Lepisosteus oculatus: one gene and its partner. The protein of the gene in region 1 purifies or fractionates together with the protein of each later gene. This does not show direct contact. Links are inferred from orthologs where the notes say so. Each region holds a gene or a part of one and is shown in the gene's direction. Other genes may lie near its edges. The genes, in order: nfx1 and larp1.

Evidence for each region.
Region 2: the proteins of nfx1 (region 1) and larp1 purify together in Homo sapiens (affinity purification with mass spectrometry, with the first as the bait; 3 studies listed by BioGRID). This does not show direct contact. The link is inferred for Lepisosteus oculatus from reciprocal best matches to the Homo sapiens genes NFX1 and LARP1.

What each region holds. Positions count from the first base shown.
Region 1 is NC_090701.1:21,634,045-21,644,039, forward strand, and holds the start of nfx1 (transcriptional repressor NF-X1), read left to right. Parts: upstream 1-5,956; 5' UTR 5,957-6,098; coding exon 6,099-6,117; intron 6,118-6,876; coding exon 6,877-7,800; intron 7,801-8,378; coding exon 8,379-8,540; intron 8,541-9,438; coding exon 9,439-9,516; intron 9,517-9,995. UniProt on the Homo sapiens protein: Binds to the X-box motif of MHC class II genes and represses their expression. May play an important role in regulating the duration of an inflammatory response by limiting the period in which MHC class II molecules are induced by interferon-gamma.
Region 2 is NC_090706.1:40,897,939-40,908,086, forward strand, and holds the start of larp1 (la-related protein 1), read left to right. Parts: upstream 1-5,369; 5' UTR 5,370-5,629; coding exon 5,630-5,996; intron 5,997-7,185; exon of another isoform or gene 7,186-7,200; coding exon of another isoform or gene 7,201-7,408; intron 7,409-10,148. UniProt on the Homo sapiens protein: RNA-binding protein that regulates the translation of specific target mRNA species downstream of the mTORC1 complex, in function of growth signals and nutrient availability.

The sequences.
Region 1 (9,995 bases):
TGATTTTTGAAATGGTATTCACAATTCACATAAAATCCAATATTGTTGCCAAGCCATGTGTAAGCTACAACTTCAATCAGATTTCTGACAAAACTTTCCTGTGCACTTTCATGTATTTTCAGAAAATGCAGTTACTTTTATGGAAATATTTAAAATTGCAAAAACAATAGTAATTTGGGGTTTCTATATGTGTTCCATATACTCCATTGCACTATCTAAGGAGTAATAAGTCCATTTGTCATGAGAAATTCAGTCCAAAGACATGCTGGGACATTTTTAGGGTAAATTTAAAAAATATATATATTCTAAGCAAATATTGAGTAATTTCTGAAGTAGTAAATATTTCATTCAAGGTGGAGTCTTCACTTGAAATTCACTACCTGATTAAAGAACTTTCCAGAGGTAGATTCTGAAATGATGAGAAAATTCCATCATTGCACACAGACAGAGGCCCCTCAACTAAATGTGTGGTTCATTAAAGTAATTTTGTACACCTAAATTAATTTAGATTTGCCACAGCAATGAATACTTATGCAATCATAACTTCAATTTCTGTTACAAATTGATTATCTGTTTACTTCTTCTTTTTGTTGTTTTTTTGCTTTGAACATATGGACTGGCATGTCTAGGACAGGTCAAGATTGTCCTTACTGGGACAGTAGCTGCTGTTTAAAAGTGTCACGATGGCAAGTTATTAAGCATGGCAAAGGTCTGAATACTTGTGCAAGGCACTGTATAAAAATTCCCACATACAGTATATGTGATCAGTAGGAACCAGAACAGTCTGCAATAGAAGCTTCAATTCTACATTTGGCAATTAGGAGGTCAGAGGCGAGGACATTTTTATTGAGCATACTGTACAAGAATTCCTTCATGTGTTCGATACGAAGCATTGACTCTCTTCATGCTTTTAAAGGAGTTTTGCATTCGATCTTTGGGTGAAGTTAGAGATTTTCTGCACAGACAATATTTGCTATACACTACTTAAACGGCTTCCTACATGTTTCACATCTCCCCCATCATTTTCACATCGGACCCTACATTGCAAGGTTCTAAACCTGAGAGTTTAAAGTTCACAGTTAAGAACATTCCAGGAAGCTGAATTGAGGTGATATCCAAAACTACTGACATGTAATGTTACTATGTAGTGGAAAAAATATGGGTTTGTAGAATACTTTTCTCAGGAAAACTGATTATTTCAATTTTTATTGTGAGATAACTATATCAATATGGCTAAAAACCAAGGTAAATATGTCATGCTAATTGGTTTCCTTTATGCTACACTTAATGAACATTTAACATTTAATAAACATGTTTAAGAAAATGGATGAATAAAAAAATATAATTATTGTATCTTTGATATGCTCCCTGGTACATTCTGAAAGATAACATCTTTCCAAAGACTTCTAACTTCCTATTTCTGTCTCATACTATTCTGCTTTATTTCTAAATTCAGATTCCCATAATGCAACAAGGTTTTTAATACAATTGTGGTTTGAGAAGCAGGATTACTGAAATGTTGCATCCAACAAGTAAGTGTTGCAGATACAATTATTTAGTCTGAATTGTACTTGTATTGTATTGTATCCTTCACTGACTGACTTAGAGTTGCTCCTAGAGATTATGATGTAACAGTCAACATCTTTGTTAACTGAAACAGCCTGTTGGCAGCACATGCTATCAAAAAGCTAACCATTTATTCTCCCAATGTTTTGTTGGCACATGTGTGCACTTAACAACCACCCATTTGCTGATACTGGCAATAGCACAGTCCTGCATGTACCATATGTGATCATCTTTTTTATTGTGGCAATTTCCCTTCTTGTACATAATTAGGTACTTCACTGAAGCTACCCAGGTGTAGTAGACAAAGAAGAAATCGTGTTTCTATCAATCCAGATTTATTTTATATACCTTTCAAGGAAAACCACCCTCAGTTCCATGCCTTATGGAATAAATAAGGTAAATTCATGCCACCAAATTAGAGCAATACCTTTTAAGCAGCTGTTCTCTTAGGCCAGCTGGCAAACATTCAGATTGATGAAAACGTGTAATAGCAGCAGATTCTGGGGATTTTAAAAAGGTGATTTGACAATTAAGTCTAGGACCTGATAGGGTATAGCCTTTCCACCACTTTGACTCTTTTTAAGATGACATAAAAGGAAGGGAAATGACACTTTGATTGCTATGTTTCTTTTGTGTATTATGTGTGAATGGGTGAAATGTGCTAGTTTACCCAAAGTAAATCCTTAATGCAATATAAACTTAATTAGTCTGAGCATTTCATATTGAAAACTCTCACTAGACAGAGATATAAAGGATTAGAATTTATTCTAAGAAAATTAACACTATATCTGCATTATTGACCAGGTCAATTAGGATAGGAACAAGCCATCAGTGAGTTCTGTGTTCATGCAAGAGCTACGCTTGGCAAAAACTGTAAGACATACCATTAAGTATCCACAGCCGCATTTGGGTTCTAATTTTAGTGGAGCAGGAAGCAGGAGGATTCTCACAATATAAATTAATCAGATCTAATTCATGCATAAACGGGCAGCTTGTGAATAATGCATTAAATGCCTTTACACATTCCTCTCTAATTGCAAAGCAACTGGAGATAAAATGTTTAGCGTATTTTTGAAATCACTTTTCAAAAGCATAACGTGGGTGTAAAGGGGCTAGAAATAAAAAAAAACAACAACATGAATAAAGGAATTAAACCACAGTTTGCAGAATAAGAAAATTGATTTCTTTATTACCATTTAAAACCAATGGCAGGGATAACAAACGGTCTGCGGGAACTGCGCTCAGTGTTCAATAGTAAAGCTGTAATGTTCCAGAGGGGGTATCGCCCTGGTGTTGCCCTTACATATACAGGCGTGTTTAGATATTCCATGTGAAAGAAATAATGGAGCCAGCTCCTCAAAAGATACACATGGCTGTTTCTTTGTTGGGTTTGGATGGCTAGGAGAAGCGACTTTAAAATGATTCAAGATTGTATCAGATGTCACAGACGGTATTCACACTGCTTGGTACTGGAGCGCATATGGCCACCATTGCAGGTGGTTCCAGCCGGCTTACCAGCGTGGTGACGTCACCGCCCTTCCCTGTGAATAGCAGGGACTGCAGCCGTTGGACTGAAGGGAGATTTCCCATTAGTTCAAGTGGCTGGGTCCTTGTTGAGTGACACCGGAGGCCTGGGTTTGAGTCCCCAGTGGTGGGGGCCTGGCCTGAGGTGGCAGCGGTGAGGGTGCATACCCACATGAACCTGAGAGCACTACAGTACCAAGTCCATTTCTCACGACTGGGTTTTGAAACCTGCAAATAGTATTCAGCAGAAAGTTGAGTAGTATTCAGCAGAAAGTATTGACAGCGGTCCAGACAGGAACACAGGAGTTATTAGATGACCAGCAGCATCCCTTTATCTATAGGCCTCATCTCATCCTCAATTTTTCTGTGTGACCTACATTTAATAAATTTTACACAGTGTGTTTGTTAATCTGATATTTTGGTCCTGCAACATGGTTTTAATTTTTGGAAGCCTTATCACCATCTTGAAAATGTAACTAGCATCTTTTATATTATTACTAGATAATGGTGCCCTCTGGTGCACAGGCCCAATACATACAGCCAAATTGTACATCACCCACTCAGGAGTTCTGACATTCTAAGTTAATCTGCAAAGAATATCATATCATATACATATCATACAGTATAAATACAGAGTCCCTATCAAATGTAGAAATGAAAATCTTAGGGCTTATCTGTTACAGACATTGTGGCTTAATTGTGACTGATATGGCCAGTTTCTCATCTTATGTTGTTAATACATAGGTGTTCAGCTCCACTTGTGTCATGTTTTGGAATAGCCAAACTCTTCTTCCAGCTGATGTCTGAACACACTTAGCTCCTGTGATGTTTGTACCCACCAGCTGAGTCTTAAGAGTGCAATCAGTGTCTGGATAAAAAATACGGTTGTGTCTAAAGTTAGGTTTAGGCTTGTGTGTGGATTCCCTATATGTCTAGAGTTTTTTTAAGCAGGAGGACTAAGAACACAAAATGACATTCCAGCCTCCATACATGACCTAGATTTTTGTCAATGAAATCTCCAAGCAGCATTGCTGTGTTTCTTGGAGAATAATACATGTTGCCCTTTTTTCAGCCATCTTCAAAAATCTTTTTCTTCACCTTAAAAATACAACTGGAATTCTGTTTAGTTTTTAATTTGTGGCCTGTTTAAACACTTTTAAAATTGTAATGATTATACTGACTAACAAATATTACCTAACGTATCCCTATGTCAGTTTATCTGGGCTTTAGAGACTTCAACTATCCCTAGATTAATCATAACCCTTATCAAAATACCATTTCAAAACTGAATTTATCTTTTGTCCAAAATGTTATTTTAAGAAGCAAAATATTACCTAACGTATCCCTATGTCAGTTTATCTGGGCTTTAGAGACTTCAACTATCCCTAGATCAGCTAACTTTAAATCTCTCCCTAATGGAGGTCTACACATAGAAAAGCAGTGTTTTTTTTTCCAAAGCTTTAGGGTTCAATTAAACAAACAATTACATGTGTATCGAGTACATTTGAATAATGGTGGTCTTGGACTTCAGTATACAGGTGTAAGTATCAGTGGATCATTCTTCTAATCCAACCTTGTCTCTGTTATCCTATTCAGAAAGTGAGTTAAATGCTTGCTGTGAACAAATATGAGGGGGAGCGGTACTGTATAATATCACTCTGTAACAATCCAGGCACACCCATTACATCATTCTATGACTTCATCTGAAGCTCTACATCACTTTTAACTGTAACCCAGTCCCAGTCTTTCAAATGCTTCAAACTCAGAACCCAGATGACACACTCCCCAGAAGAGATCTATTTTCTTTGAATATTCCATTCCTGTTCTTACATGAACAGTCCATTCAACCAGAAATTCCTTGATCCATTTGATTATACAGTATACAGTATGCTTTTATTCCTAAATTGTTCAATTTCATTAGAAGTTCCTCTTCTCATTAAAGTGTCATAAGTCTTTATTGATAAAAAACTGCCACCTAAGAAAAGTTTTTTTTTATTCAGCCCTTTAATCTAAAATGTTCTCCTTTTCCCAAACCCACTTTAATGTGAAAAAAATGATGACTTTACAAAAAAAGACCTCCTAACCACAATTTTTCCTATTAACTTGCATGCATTTGTTGCCAATGCAATAGGACAGTTGATTTGACTATAACACACCGATTTCCATACTATATTAAACTGACAAAACGTATATAGTACACCATCTCATCTTGCATGTGAAAACATTTTGTATGATCTTGATCCTTACTAGGAGATGTTTTTAGAAATAATAATTTATAGATCTAAGATATAATTTAGTATTAACTACAACTGTTAACCTTACTTAATAATTTTGTTAATGAGTTAGCTTTTTCTAAATTTGTTTTATCAATATCTAAACCTTTTAGTTAATTTTCTCTTATTCTTAATTTTCTTAATTCGTAATTCAGGAATATTCTTAAATTTACCTACACCATTTATTATCTAAATTTAAACCCCAAAACATCAACCACAGTATTTTCCTGAAGAATCACAATAATTTATTTTCTTTTATGTCTTTTATTGCATGTTTAATAACCCGTTGAGCAAAGGCTTTCTCATTTTTACACTACATAACTCTCTCTAATGTCAGGTTATGCACGTCGCATCCTTTCTTTATTGTCAAAGCACAGACTTCATTCCTTCAGGGTAGAAATCCGTTTCCTGTATGATCGATATAACTGCAGGTTGTGTAACTGCATCACTTACTGCTGCCGCTATCCATATCCACGTCTGTCTTAAACAGAATTACGTTAACACTCCTCGGAAAGAGTCCAAGAAGCCTACAGTATTTAAAAGCTGTCAGAGGCCCCAGTCCTATCAATAAAGTTTAGGTTGATGCAATCACAGTGAGCATGCGCAGAGGTTTGTTGTGTTGCGGGGATAGGAAGTTTGTAGGCCGGGTTCATCTATTATGTAAAACCTCAAGAAAAGAAGACGTTGTTACATATCAGCAGAAAAAAACATACTTTACGCTCCATTGGGCTTTAAATGGCTGAATCTCTAGAAGGTATTTCATTTAAACTTTTTATTAGCTACCATGTTACTCTATGCTAGGTTATTTTTTATAATCAAATTTAGTCTTTACTATATTGGCTTCAGAGCTATCAGTAATGCTTTTGAGGTATTATTGCTACTGCTTATAGTAATAATGTCCGATTTGACATGTAGAACCAAACGGGATGTGTACATGTCGACTTGTTGTCGTGGGACCAAGTCAGCGATGTGACAGATCATGCTGTTGGTCAGCTCACCACATGGTTGCCTGTGTGACCTCGTAAAACACGGTGACAAAACCTTTTTTTCCCCCAGAATAAATTATCTATTAAAATTAATTCAGATTTTTTTGTGTGATTTATTAAACTGCAAGATTCTGAAAAGCCTGCTTCGTTTGTAGATATATTACCTAGTGTCTAAACATTATCATAGCTGGGTCAGAGTCCAGAAACATATTTGGTTCATAGTTACACTGAAAAGTCAAACCTACTAACTTTGTACTGAAGGAAAAAATGACACATTCGTTTTATATAAACGCTGAGAGATGAGGTACCTTATAAATAAACCTTGGAAATCCACGTTTGTGCTCTACACACAATAACGTATATTCCCAATTTTTAAACTAACGTCAGTACTTTTTGCAGACATAACCCTACTGCAGATTATTACAGAAGTACAGAAAATGTTTCTCTCCGTTGTCCCTGTATAAGATTGTGATGTGCTTTTAGAAAAATGCTGATCTGTGCTTAAGTTTCCATTTTTGTTCCCCCAGGGGAACTGGATTTGAATCCAGATGCAGCTGATTTTGTGCCTGAAGAAAGACACAAGCAGAAGTCAAGGAGGGAGAACCCAAAGTCAGAGCACAACAGAAACAGGAGTGGTCACTACGCAGGTCCTCGATCGCAGCATTATAACAGGCCATATCACAGTAACAGGCCTTGGCATGAACATGACTCCCGGAAGAGCCACAGTCCTTCTCAGGACCATGCGGAGCGGGGAGAAGGCAGTAGAGGAGCTAGAAGCCACAGCTTTCAGGCACAGAGATGGCAAAAGCCCGGAAGTACAAGGAATCTTCCAGCAGATAACCCTGACCCCTCTGGGGGCAACAGGACAGAGTCTTCCACTGAAGTGTCTGGAATTGGTGGGTCAAACTGGAAGACGGAGAACCAGAGGGACAATTATTTCTACAATGGCCCTCTTTCCCAAGAGGAGATGAGAGATGTAAGGCCCAAAAAGACAAACAAGTTTGCTGCTGCTGAGCCCAGGAGGGGGGCAACCGAGAGGGGAAGACGGGCTTTTGTCGGGGAGACCCGGACTGCGGAGGACTGGTCCAGCACGGTGTCCACAGATGCTGGTAAAGAAGTTGATGGGAAGGGTCAGAGGACGGGGGAAAGGTATCGGGACCACAGCATGAAGAAGAACTCCCCGAGGCACAGACAAGAGCACGAGGAGGAGACCTTTAGAAGACCAGCCTCCTACAGGAGCCTGGCAGGCAAACCCCACGCGGCTTCCTTCAGCACGTCAGAGGGGTTGAGCGCTTCCCGGTGTCCAGAGGAGCCCAGCTGGAGGAGCGAGAGGGGACACGGCAAGCGTTTTCCACTCCAAGACCGTGGTCCGAAGAAACCTCAAAAGGCGGACAGGAGGCCTGTTTATAAAACGCAGGTGGACATGCCCAAGAGCAAGGAAACGCAGACAGGTGTGCCACTATGGTCATTTGTGTTTATTTCATTTTCCATATCTGATATCTGATAACATGAACTGATAACATGAAAATTAGCCTCTTATCATGAAGTATTTCTCTACATGTGTTTCACTGCCCTGCCAGTGTTTGGTTGGGATACTCGAAGCTACGTATCCATATTGTCAAATGCAGACAACAGTTCTAAAATGAGAAGAAATGCTTTTTTTTTGATTCCATTAAAATGCTAAGCATCTGTTTGCTTACAAAATCAAAAGAGCGGATGGAATAGAGTCTTCCTGACCACTTTCTCTGTGACCCTTAGCATTTTGGAGAATAAAGCGATGCAAATGAATGTGTTCAAAAGTCAGTTTGGGTGTCAGGCAGGTGATGTCTGGAAAGCTACTGCATATGTATTTGAGAGTGATCCCTTTAATAACCCGTATTCATCAGCTGTGGCATTGTCTGGCCCTGATCAGATGACTTCTCAGCATTAGCTCAAAGGAACCGAGTTTGACAGGTGGCGTTACGCAAGTTTTTAAGATGGTATTTGAGTTCTGTGGATCATTGTGCTTTCCCTCTCCCTCTTGGGGCAGGCTGCTTGATCGAACAGCTCACAGAGGAGAAGTACGAATGCATGGTCTGCTGTGAGGTGATCCGGTTGATGGCTCCAGTGTGGAGCTGCCAGAGTTGCTACCACGTCTTCCATCTCAACTGTATTAAAAAGTGGGCCAGGTCCCCAGCCTCTCAGGCAGAGGGTAAGTTTGGTCCTGGGGCTAGGGGACTAATTTTTTGTATCTTCCTGAGTAAAATCAAACCCTGCCTGCTACATTTAAATCACACTGCCTTGGGAAGTGTTGTGCAGATTTCATACAAATATTATTCAGATGGCTTTAAGGAAGGACATCAAATCCCATGACTAAACATTTTAGTAAAACATGATCTCACAATACACCCTCCTGAATGTATTGTATTGATTTATGTGGAGTCATGTTTATTGAAACATTAAATTAAGATCAAATCAATTTAATTAGACGTTAGAATAGCAGATTTTTAAAAGTGTTCTGTGTTTCAATCATGTAAAAACCAAAAAACCACAAATGACAGCCTTTGTAAATTGTATTTTTTCCCCATGGACATTTTCCCATTGATTTCTTAACCTGATTTTCACTGTCTGTGGAGGGTTCTAGATTGGCAGTTTTGAGAACAGTGACAGTGGGCGGGGAATGGTTAGCTAGGATTCAGTCATCTGCCGGGGTCCCAGTCTCTCCATCCGAGAGCATGTACAGTATTTAGCAAGGTCATGTAGAAACGGCCCTACCTGTAGTCTTTCTTCTGTGGGCGTCAGTTGATTGAGGTTGACAGATAAAAAGAAGAGAGTATAGCCGTACGATGATCATACTTTATTTCTCACCAGTTTTGGTTCCGTTTACAATAAGTAACATGATTGGACTTCATAACTTCTTTTTAAAAAAATCAAGATGTGCAATTTATCAAGTAGTTGCAACTTTTTTTGTTTTCCTTTTTTAAACCCACACTAATCAGTGTGCATTATGTGCTTGCCTTCACTGTATTGCATGTGCCATATTTTACTAACATAATTCTCAGTGTACTTAATGATGTGATTGAGTAAACCTTGTGTGGCTCTATTTCCAGATGGGAATGAAGGGTGGAGGTGTCCTGCCTGCCAAAATGTAGCATCTCGTGTACCAAACTCTTACGCCTGCTTTTGTGGTAAGTGAAATTTTCTGTTATCTTCTAAAATACCTTGGAGAACTTCATAAATTACCATTCTACATTGTGCATAATTGTGCATGTTTCTTCAGGATTATTTTTCATGGTAGTGGATGCACAAATTTCTTGTTTTTGTAACTTTTCTTTCCCAAATTGGCCATTGCGTTTTACATGCATTATACTGTTGTTTGATTGTTATTACAGTGGAATTCCACCTTTAAAATAAAAGCTGAAGTGTCAAACGGGGGACAGCGATAGAAGCATTCAGCAACAAGGGTCACTGCCAGAAAGCTGAGGATCACCTGGTGGTCAAAATCTAGACAAATGTCACAAATATTTATTTTTCCATTTTGTTCTGGGGAATTAGGGCCAAAGTCTGAAACTTGCTTTCTGGATTGAACATTAATGAGCCACACCCAGAGAAGGATACACAACTGAAAAAATGTTTTTCTTCTCCTTTTAGCATGGAATAAACCTTT
Region 2 (10,148 bases), on another chromosome or scaffold:
AGTGGAGGTTTTTCAGGTAATAATAATAAGATGAAACTTCATTTCAGATACAGTCTTTAAAGAGTAGCATAAGCACATATAAGAGACACAAGTGGTTACAAGGTCCTTAGAAAGTGCAGCAGACACAGACGCCAATGACATAAAAGCCTTTCTGAACAGAATGGTTCTGAGTTGAGATTTAAATGCACTCAGCATAGGTGACTCCCTGATATCCTTGGGGATAAAATAAGGGCGGTTGCCCATGTTGTACACAATGAAAGGAAGGAAGTGCAAGCATTGCCCTGCACACCCACTGAGACAGTCGTCCACAGCTACAAGCTCCGAAGTGACATACAGGAGGCTCAGCACTGATTGGAGGAGCAATGCTGATGTCATCACAAGTCATTATGGGGCATAGCTGGGAAATTGCAGGGACTAGTATTGCAGTAGTAAACTTTGGTCCTACCACAAGTGGGGCAGACCCCACCGCGTGCTGCCTCCTGGAGATTCCCGGTCTCTGGGGCTGCCGGAGTGACCAGACGAATACTGGGAATGTCTGGATCATTGAGCCCAGCCTGCTCCCAGAAGAGTCTCCACTGCTTGATCCACTTGGGCCAAAAAATAACCTACCCAAGTGATGCATCTTAATACAATACAAGTCCCACAGCCCATTTCAGCTGCTGCTGACACTGGCAGCCCATGTGTTTATCCCCCTAGCATGTAAAACGAACTGGGATCATTCAGAGACTGCACGTTGACTCAAAAAGGGAACCAGGCCTACGTCTGTGTAGTGCTTATGCACGTTGGAGATTTGAGCCTAACTGATTTGTTTCTTGTCTTGTACAACATCCATCGGAAAGTGGTGGTATGAATTTGGGAAAAGAACGTGGGCATTATAAATGAGCGGAGCTCCAAGCAGCTTGATTGACTGCCAGTAAACTAATGATCCACTTAATCGGCCTGCGATTCTGAGTGTAGTGTGTGCTTGTCCCTCGTTCCCCATGAATCCCCTCTGGTGTAGCTCTGACTCCAGAATCATTCATATGAGTGTGAGGGGGCAACCAGGGGGGGCGCTGGCCTGGGGACCCCCAGGTGAGAGGGGCAGGCTCCTTGTGGCTGTGCCTGTGGGGGGGGGGGGACAGGAGACCGGCCCCTGTATCGGATGTGTCCTTTTTCACCGGTCGGGACTCAGCTGTGTGAAACCCTGTGGAGGGGCTTTCTTCCTGGACGGTATCTGGTGCTTCGCAAACAACAAAGAAACCGCCGCCGACAAAGCCTGGGTGGTACAGCTCTGCATATCCGCCAGTATTTGCGCGGTTATTCCTGAACTCCCAGCCGCCGGAACAGGCGCCCCTCCGGTCTCTGTCTCTCTCTGTCAGGGTGGCCAGCAGCTCCGAGGCTCCGCTGCAGCCTGGTGCTTACTGTGCACATCCCACGTGTGGGATCTGCTGACCAGCTGCTGACTGCGAGTTTTGTCCCCTGTCTCCTGCACTTATTCAACTGGCGATTGCATTACTAAAGGGCTCCAGCGGGGTGGACAATGCCAAAGAGCTTTACATGGCACTGATGTCATTGTGCACAAAGAAAGGGATTCTGCAGCTAGTCGGGGTATCAGAGTATTTACCCCTGTGCAACAACAGGGGCTACAGAAAAGGCCGTGTGTGTGTGTGTGTCTGTGTGTGTGTGTACTCGTGCACATTTGTGTGCATATGAGCACCTCTTCGTGTGTCTGCTTTGGAGCAAAGTTATTTCAGAATGGCTGGGGCTGCCATGGTGGAAATTCGTCGGACATTCGGAGCTGTTCAACCTGTAGGGATCGCGTTTTCTTGTTTTCTTGAAATGCACTATCACGGTAGACGAAGAAAAGGGTCAGGGAATTCCCCCGTGTGTCAGTGACTGGGTCGGCATCACCCTGCGTCTTCACTGTGCTGCTGATTGCTTCGCGGGGGTAAAGAACAGCACCCTGGGGCGGACATGCAGGGGGTGCGCAGCTGTTGTCGGACAGAGTGGGCTTCGCCCTCGGTCACAGCCCCTGTGTGCGCATGGCCAGCCCCTGTAAGCTCTGATGTGTTTAACTGTGCTGTGTAAATATACTGCACCCTGAGAGATGAGACCAAGAGACCAGGTGACCACGTAGATCAGGCGACCAAGATCTAAAATAAACTCTCCACCAAATGGGAGTGCTATAGCTGGAGATTTGGAAAATACCCTTTTAAAATTTCGCACCTGGTTTTCACATTCAGTTGTCTGTGGTTTTTAAGTTCGGTCACAGCTTACGTTCAGCCACCGTTTATCTTTCACCACCCTGCTCGTCCTGAAAGCTGTAATCAGCAGTGAGACAGACATCTTCGTCCCCTTATCTGGCGCAGCTACAGCGGCTCACAGGCATGAGCTCCACTGCGCATTGTGTACAGGCCTGTTGGATGGGACAGGAGTCTCTTGTTAGAGGCTGAAAGGGTAGACAGGCAGCTGCAAGAGCAGCTCGAGGGAACCATGGACAGTTCCCTTGTGGAGGTGGACGTCTTCAACAGTTGGGTGGACACCATGGAGGCAGAAGGACAGAAAACCGAGACAGATGAAGCGGACAACGGAACGTCCTCTCAGCCTACGACAAAGTGTCCTTGCAAGGCTGTCTATTCCAGCTGAGCCTATTTCACGCTTACAAAGCACAGAGCCCGAGCGCGTTAAAACCACAGGAGTGCTGGAAACTCCTTCCCTACTGCCCCACAACACTTTCACACGTGTGGTATAAGCTAAGCCTGCTACCTGAGGAAATAAATCTGGCACTCCATGAAGCGCTAGGCCTGACTACAAGGTCCCTTCGTGTTTGTGTTTGCTCCATTTTGTGCTCAGTGTTGTGCTGCACACACATCAGCTCTGTGCACTAAGGAAAAGCTGTTCACTTTGTTTTAATAAAGCCTCCTTTTCTGTGATACCATTCTTTCAATCATTAGCAATGTCCATCCATTTTCTATCTGTTTTATCCAATTCAGAGTCACAGGGCAGTCAGAGTCCACTCAGGCAAGCAACAGGCACAAGGCGGGTTCTACCCTGGACGGGATGTCTGGGTAGATGGATGGGTTAATGGATCACTGGGCACACACAGACACACACTCACACCAGGGACAGTTTCCCAGAACCCAGTTAAACTACCAATATGTAGTTTTTGATCTACAAACTCCACACAGACAGCACCCCAGGTCCAGAATTGAGCCGAGGCTGGGTCAGTCCCGAGCAGAAAGGTCAGGGCCCGTCTGACCCCGATCAGCCCCGCCCAGCTCCGGCGGCCCACAGCCAGCTCGAGAGTGCGCTGTCTCGGAGCCGCACGCTCGCACAGCAGGGTGTAGGAGGAGTGGAGAAGAGAGCAAGGAGGGTTCTGATTGTTCCACTGGGCCTGGGCTCACCCAGCCAGTGCTGACACCAGCTCCGATCCTACCAGATTTATTCACCTGTGGGACGGCGTGTCAGGTCCCATGGATCAGGGGTGTCTTCCATGCTGGAGCTCCACTGGCCTTTAGGACAGATGAGCAGGGGGCTCCAGCGCTGCTGGTTCACACCCCGCAGGGTCGGGGACTGTCTGCAGGGTCGCAGCACTGGGACACAGGGAGACCCTCCCAGTTCAATGAGCTCAACTGTCCAATGTATTTACCTCTCAGCGGAAAACAGATGGGAGAATTCGGCCGTAAGTATATAAGAACTCGATGCCCATCGTATTCCTACATCTCTTTCTTTATTCACTGCAAAAAAAAAACTGTTTACAGCCCCGAAAAGGATAAATAACGGAGCCGTTATGAAAACAGCAGGCGAGTGGCAGCTGACTCAGCACGTTTCTCTGTCGGGACACAAACACGGAGTCCGACAGGCATGTCCGAGCCGAGGACCCGCCGCTTCTCTGCACACACGACTCCAAACCCTTCTCCCGCTGTCATGCCGGGAGCCCCAGGAATGTGCCTTGGGGAAATGTTTTTTTATGGTATTTATGGTCAGATATGTGTTCTGGTATCAGGGAGGCGTATCATTCAAAGAGACGGAAGAACCGCTGTAACTTTGCTTTTCGCGGATCTGATGAGATGAGGTTACCGTGCACTCCACTCCGGAGGGGTTTTTTTCTTGGTGCATATTAATATTTGTGGTTTAAGCTAATATTAAACATTATAAATAACAAATTAAGTAGTTGTGCCTCTGTAATTCGGTGGGGTTTCCTTTAGCTTGCTGTGAATCCGGCTAATTCATTATCATTCCTGCAGATGACCAGAGCGCTAATTTAATCTAAAAACTTTTTAAATGAATCTTATTAATTTACTGGGTTTACATTGTGCAATGACAGCGGTGGTTGGCTCACATGAACCGGAGGGCGGAGACGTCGCCCGGAACCGGAAGCGGAAGTTCCTCTTCGCCTGCAGTTCCCTGCTCCGCCTCGCGGCGGTGCGCAGCGTGCAGGAAGAGGAGACAGCCTTGCTTCCTGGACTCCGCACAGGCTGCTGCCCGTGTCCCTCAAGCATGGCCGGGGGCAGCTTAGGGACCATCTGCAAATACCGCACGGTGCACTCGGAGTCTTAAGCAGGTTTTCTGACATGCAGACTATCAACGCTGCAGTACAGCAGCTAGGGCAAGAATTAATAATGGCCCCATGGAACATGTCTGGACACCCACCGGACCCTGGCAGCAGCCCCCTCTCCTGTCTCCCCATCCTGTGGCCGCTGCAATGTGTGTTTTAGACCAAAACGCTGTGGTTAAATCCAGTCCCACGCGTCACCGCATTTGATCAAACTGGCAGATGGACAGGCGCTGCTTTGCTCTCGTCAGGGCCTGGCCAGCACAGGGACCGGAGACCCGTGAGGAAAACCAGCTTGCATCTGTCCTGGCGGGGTGGGTGTGCTGGTGGACCAGTAGGAGGTGCTCTGCCCCCATATCGTGGCCAGGGACCCTGTGCTGTTGGGGTGCTGTCCCGGGGATGAGATGCGAAACTGAGTACAGATCCAGAGGCAGATTCTCACTTTTCCACCTGATCCTCTGTGCAGCGTCAAAACTAACAAGGTGGAGTTCTTCCAGCCCGTTAGTGGAGGACATTCCCTTAAATGGACATTTAAAAAAATGTGAAATGTGTTTAAACTCATTAGGAATACAATTGCATCTGGAACCGTATGAAAGCACATTTTCAGAGTTCCTATGACTTTTTTGTTTTGAACAGCCCGAGAACACCAAGCGTGTTTCACACCGCAAAGGAAAAAACAAAACAAACTGCTTTAGAAACAGTGGGCTTTCGACTTATCGAACTAGGACTGATTGGCAGCCAGTTCATAACGGGCTGCCTCTTTAAGAGGCTGACGTCATCGACCCGGCTCCGGGTCGCGCGCCTGGCTGCGTCGTCACTCCCCCTGGCGTGCGTGCGCGCCGCCGTCGATCGCGTGGTGTGCTTCCATATTGCTGCTAGTAAGGGAGACCAGCGACATCGGGGGTTTTAAACAGGCGCTCGGAGGGATTTTGTGTTTTAATCCGCAAGTGGCCACTCTGCGTCTTAGACTGAAGGATATTTGGTCTAGGGGTGGAGTGGAGAGAAGAGTGAGACGAGCCGGATCGGGGGCGCACAGTTCGCGTTTTCTCTCGCCAGTTGTAGAAGGGCTTGCGGGGTAGCGAGAAGAAGGGGGAAATGGCCACTCAGGTGGAGACCCTCCTGCCCGGCAACCCCCTGCTGAAGCCGGAGGAGCACGGGCACGGCGGCGAGTGCCCGGAGCCCGGGGCGGACGGCGGCGTGAGGCGAGGCGAGCCGGGTCCGGCAGGCATGGCCGCTCAGGAGCCGAGCCCGAAGCAGGCGAAGGACGAGAGCAACGCGCAGGAGCAGGAGAGCCTGCGCAGGGAAGCCGGGGCTGCCCCGAAAGACGGGGTCACCCCGGAGGAGGAAGGCCCGAAATGCACCAAAAAGGAGTTCACTGAGGCGCCCCCTCCCAAGGTGAACCCATGGACTAAGAAAATGAACACGGTGACCGTGGTCAGTGTGAATGGACAAGCACATCATGGTGTGTACCTCCTAACATCTTTTCCAACGCTTCGCTTGTTGCTTTCGAGTGCCGTGGCGGGGTGCAGCTGGCCCGGACGGATGGCAGCGGGGGCCCTCCCCCCGAAGGCCAGCCCGCAGGGGGCGCAGGTCCCCCCGGGCAGCCCTGGGTGCAGGCCCCGGAGCCGCTGTGGGGGAGAGAGGGGGGTGTGCGGTCTGGCCTGCCCCAGCAGACGGTGCGGGGCGCAGCAGAGGTCGCGTCTGCGGCGGCCGGGATCGTGTTTCGGGGCTGCGTGCGGCCGGGAGGGCGCATTTCGTGCAAAGGGAGCCCCGGCGAGGGCCTGCGGACTGGCAGCGGTGCGGCGATGCGTTTTGGGGGGGGTTTGCACGCCGGCGGCCGGCTCTCCGCTGTGTGCCAGGGAGTGGGCTGGTCGCACCGAGGGCACACCGTGCGCCGCACCAACGCCTATGATTAGCATATGTTGTGGGGAGGGCTGGTTTTTGCGTCGGGCTTGGCTTTATATATATATATAGCCCTGCCTCGGCTCTTGAAGCATCCGAAACATGCGGGGTTATTGGCAAAAAAGCTGGAAATCCATGTGATTTACATGTGGTTCACGTTTTAGTCACTCGTGGCTTTTCCTGGTTCCCCGAGTACACGAGCGGAATGGGGGGGCATCGCTCAGTCGGCGCTGCTGTCCCCCCGTGTCTCTTTTTTTAATTGTTATACCTATTTCAGACAGATGGCCCAGAGCTTGGGCGGTAGCATTTCCTTTGGTTTTTGTTCGTTTTTACCCGTGTGAGAACGTGAGGGTGGCACGAAATTGAAAGGAAAACCGTTTTGTTTTCAAAGTCTTTTATTTTTTTTTATTTCAGGGAGGTAAAGCGATTGTTTTAACTTTAGAGCAACCCCACTGGCCACGCAGTTAAGGCGGTGATTGTAACAGGGACGAGTCTCGCCCACCCCCCCTTCCCCAAACCCTCCTGCAAAAAAAAAACCCGAAGGAACCAGCGTGTTTCGAGGCTCAGATCTAGGAAAAGGTGACTTGTATTTTATCCCCCGATAGTTTCCAGCCGTGTTGCGGCAGGGGTGCCCCTCTCCGGGGGCTGTGGGGGTCGGGGTGCTCTGGAAACTAAGGCAGAGCGTTGCTAGGCTCGTCCGCGTTACCCAGAATTCCCCCCGCCCGTCGGCAACGTGGTGTCTTCCTCTGGAAACACGTGATCTCATGGGCGCTGCGCCGCGGCCGGGCTCGTCTCCTGGGGGGGCTCGGTTCGGGCTCCGTGGGGCCCGGGGTCGCTTGAGTTTGACAGGGCGGGGCGGGGACGGGCCGGCGAAGCAGCTGTCTGAACGGAGAGCAGCGCCGTTATCCCCTCCCCCCCCCGCCGGCCGTGGTGAGGCGAGGGGAAGCGTGGCTTCTTGCGCAGCTGCTGCAGGTTAGGCGGACGGGTTTGTTCCGGACTGCCTTCAGAGCAGCTTCCTTTGAACCGTGCTCTTCACTTCACTTCACTCCCGGGGTCGTGGTCATTAGCCGTGGAAGGCACACAGCCCGTGCTGGCTGCTTTCGTGTCTCGGTCCCCCCCCCACCACCAACAAGTCTGTTATAAAAGTTGTTTTTTTTTAAATAAAAATAAGTTCATTGAGGTAGAGTAAATAACGCGTGTTTGCTCAGGGAGATAAAGCTGTTTGCACTGTAGAGGTAGAGGAGAAAACTCCAGTGTTTTTCGTTCTTTGCGAAAATAAAGGGACGAGTTTCTTCCCCCAGTTTAAGACCTGTAACATCCAGTCACTCTGTAATTTGAGTGAACTTTGACCGGGAAGTCCACAGGTGAACAACACCTCTTATTTGAGAGAGCTGGTTTGGGGATCAGTATTGTTTTTGTTTCTCTTTTAAAAGGTTAAAGTAACAGGGTTACAACATCTATGGTTTTTCAAAGGCCTGGGAATGAAAAAGGAAATGAAAACCGACTTTTAGTACATTTGCCTCCCTGGTTAATATTAAGGCTAATATCTTAAAACGTGTTATCCAAGGTCACGGTCCTCTGTTGTGTGAAAGGTGAGACACGTGTGAGAATGTCAGGTGTTGTGTGCCAAGCAAAAGGCTGTATGGACACAAGAGCAATAAACAGTGCTTTGTGACTTTTGCTCACTGACTGCTGTGCGGGGGCTCTCCTTGGCTTTTGTAAGTAGAGACTGGAAGAGAACCGAGAGCTTGATTTTTCAGAATTTCTTTGAAAGTGTAATATTTGATCTGCTCGATGCGTGTAGGGGGTGTTTTTGTGTCAGTGGCAGGTCATACATCTGCTTTGAGTTCGACAGAGCCTTGTATGTGTGTAGTGGACGAGTGTTTCTGAATAGTTGCTATAAGTGGTGAGATTTGCCTTTATGATGCACCATAGGTACTCCTTGAAACTGGAGGGATGCCCAGTTCCTAAAGGCTGGGGTAGAGGGCACGTGGCCTGTTGATGGTGGAAGCCTGTGATGACTGTTCTTAGTTTTAAAGAACCCGAAGCCGAGTCCTCGCACAGCCTGTGCGCTGACAGTAAGAGGCTCGTCTGCAGTGCAGCAATGCTGGGTGACAACAGCAGGCAACACGCTGCCACGCTTTCCTGGATGCTGGAGCAGCGCTCGTTAGCCCCTGAATCCAGGTTTACCCAGTTTGCAGACAGTAGAGAAGCATGGGCCTGGTCTAGTTTTATTGTAAGAAAGTTTGAAAGACTATGCTGAAAGTATATTGACAGATAAGTGTTATTTAATGTACTTTTAAAACCCTGCAGTGTATGATTCCTTAGTCCTTGAAGCTGAACGTAGTGGCGTGTGTAGTGTCAGATGCAGTGTCCTGTTTAGACGTACCAGCGTCAGCGTGGTTGTGTGCTGCAGTAGGAATGGGGCAGATGTGTGGAGCAGTGGGCAGGGTTCTGGACTGTAACTGGAAGGTTGTGGGTTCAAGACCCAGGTGAGACACCGCTGTTGTACCCTTGACTGGGGTACAGTACCTCACCCACACTGTTCCAGGAAAACACCCAGCTGCGTAAATGAGTGCAAAACTAAGTTGCTTCAAATAAAAAGCTTCAGCCAGAGAAATACATGTAAGCCTGTTTTGGTTGTTTGGTGTCTTTAAAGAATAACTGTTAATGTTTCAAGGTTTATTGAGTACACTGACGTTGTGCAAGTTCTCTTTCACAGTTTCGTATCTCAATATCATCTCGCCTTCTCTCTGCTCATTGATGGGGTGTTCCGGGAGAACACTTTGGGTTTGATGAGCCCGTTAAAAATTAATGTACACAAAGCAGGCAAGTGCAGATCTTGTTTTGTTTGTAGTATACGATTAACTTCTGTTCATTCGAATACAAAAGAGGGAGTTAGAAGCAAGATAACAGGGCTGTGAGGAAAGAATTGATATTGATCATCAGTATTACAAAACATTTTTTACAAAGCAAAATGGCCTATGTCATAAAAGGTAAAATGTAATCAAATTCCTGGGCAGAATAGAAAAATCATGCTTCTTGTTTTGCATTATGGAGATTTAATGAAGTGAAGTTCTAAATGTCTTCTGCACAGCGTTGCTCTAAAATCTCCAAGGCACTGCTTCCCAGAAGGAGGAACTGCTAGCAGAGAACTGCAAGTGATGCACAGGCTCAAGAATAAAACAAATCCCAAACTCCAGAACAAATAAACATGGACAGGAGACTCCTGTTATCGAAGACAGCTGTCTAAAGCATTTCTTCTCGGTATAATCTCTCCTCTGAGCATGTCCACCCTCAATGGAGAAGCTATTTATAGTTGTGACATGTTAACTTGGTTTCAAAACAGTAGTGGGTTAAAGTTTATGCCAAACTGTCCTAGAACACTGCATTACCAGCCTGTATTTCAGTAAGGTCTTTGTTATTGGAATAAATGCATGTAGTTATGTATTCTTTAGTATAGCATTTGTGCCTTGTGTTTGCACAAAGGGTAGTGGGAGTATGGAACAGGTCTCTCAGCCATGTTGTTGAGGCATGTACCTTGGCTTCCTTTAAGTAATAGCTGGATGAGATCGAGCTCGTTGTACCCGAATAGCTTTTTACTTTCAAATTTTCTGTTTCTTAACTGATGATTTTCAGGTATTTCAGGTACTATCAAAGATGTACTGGTAAACCTGAAAAGCAACCTTGAACATGTCAGACCTTTTCATGG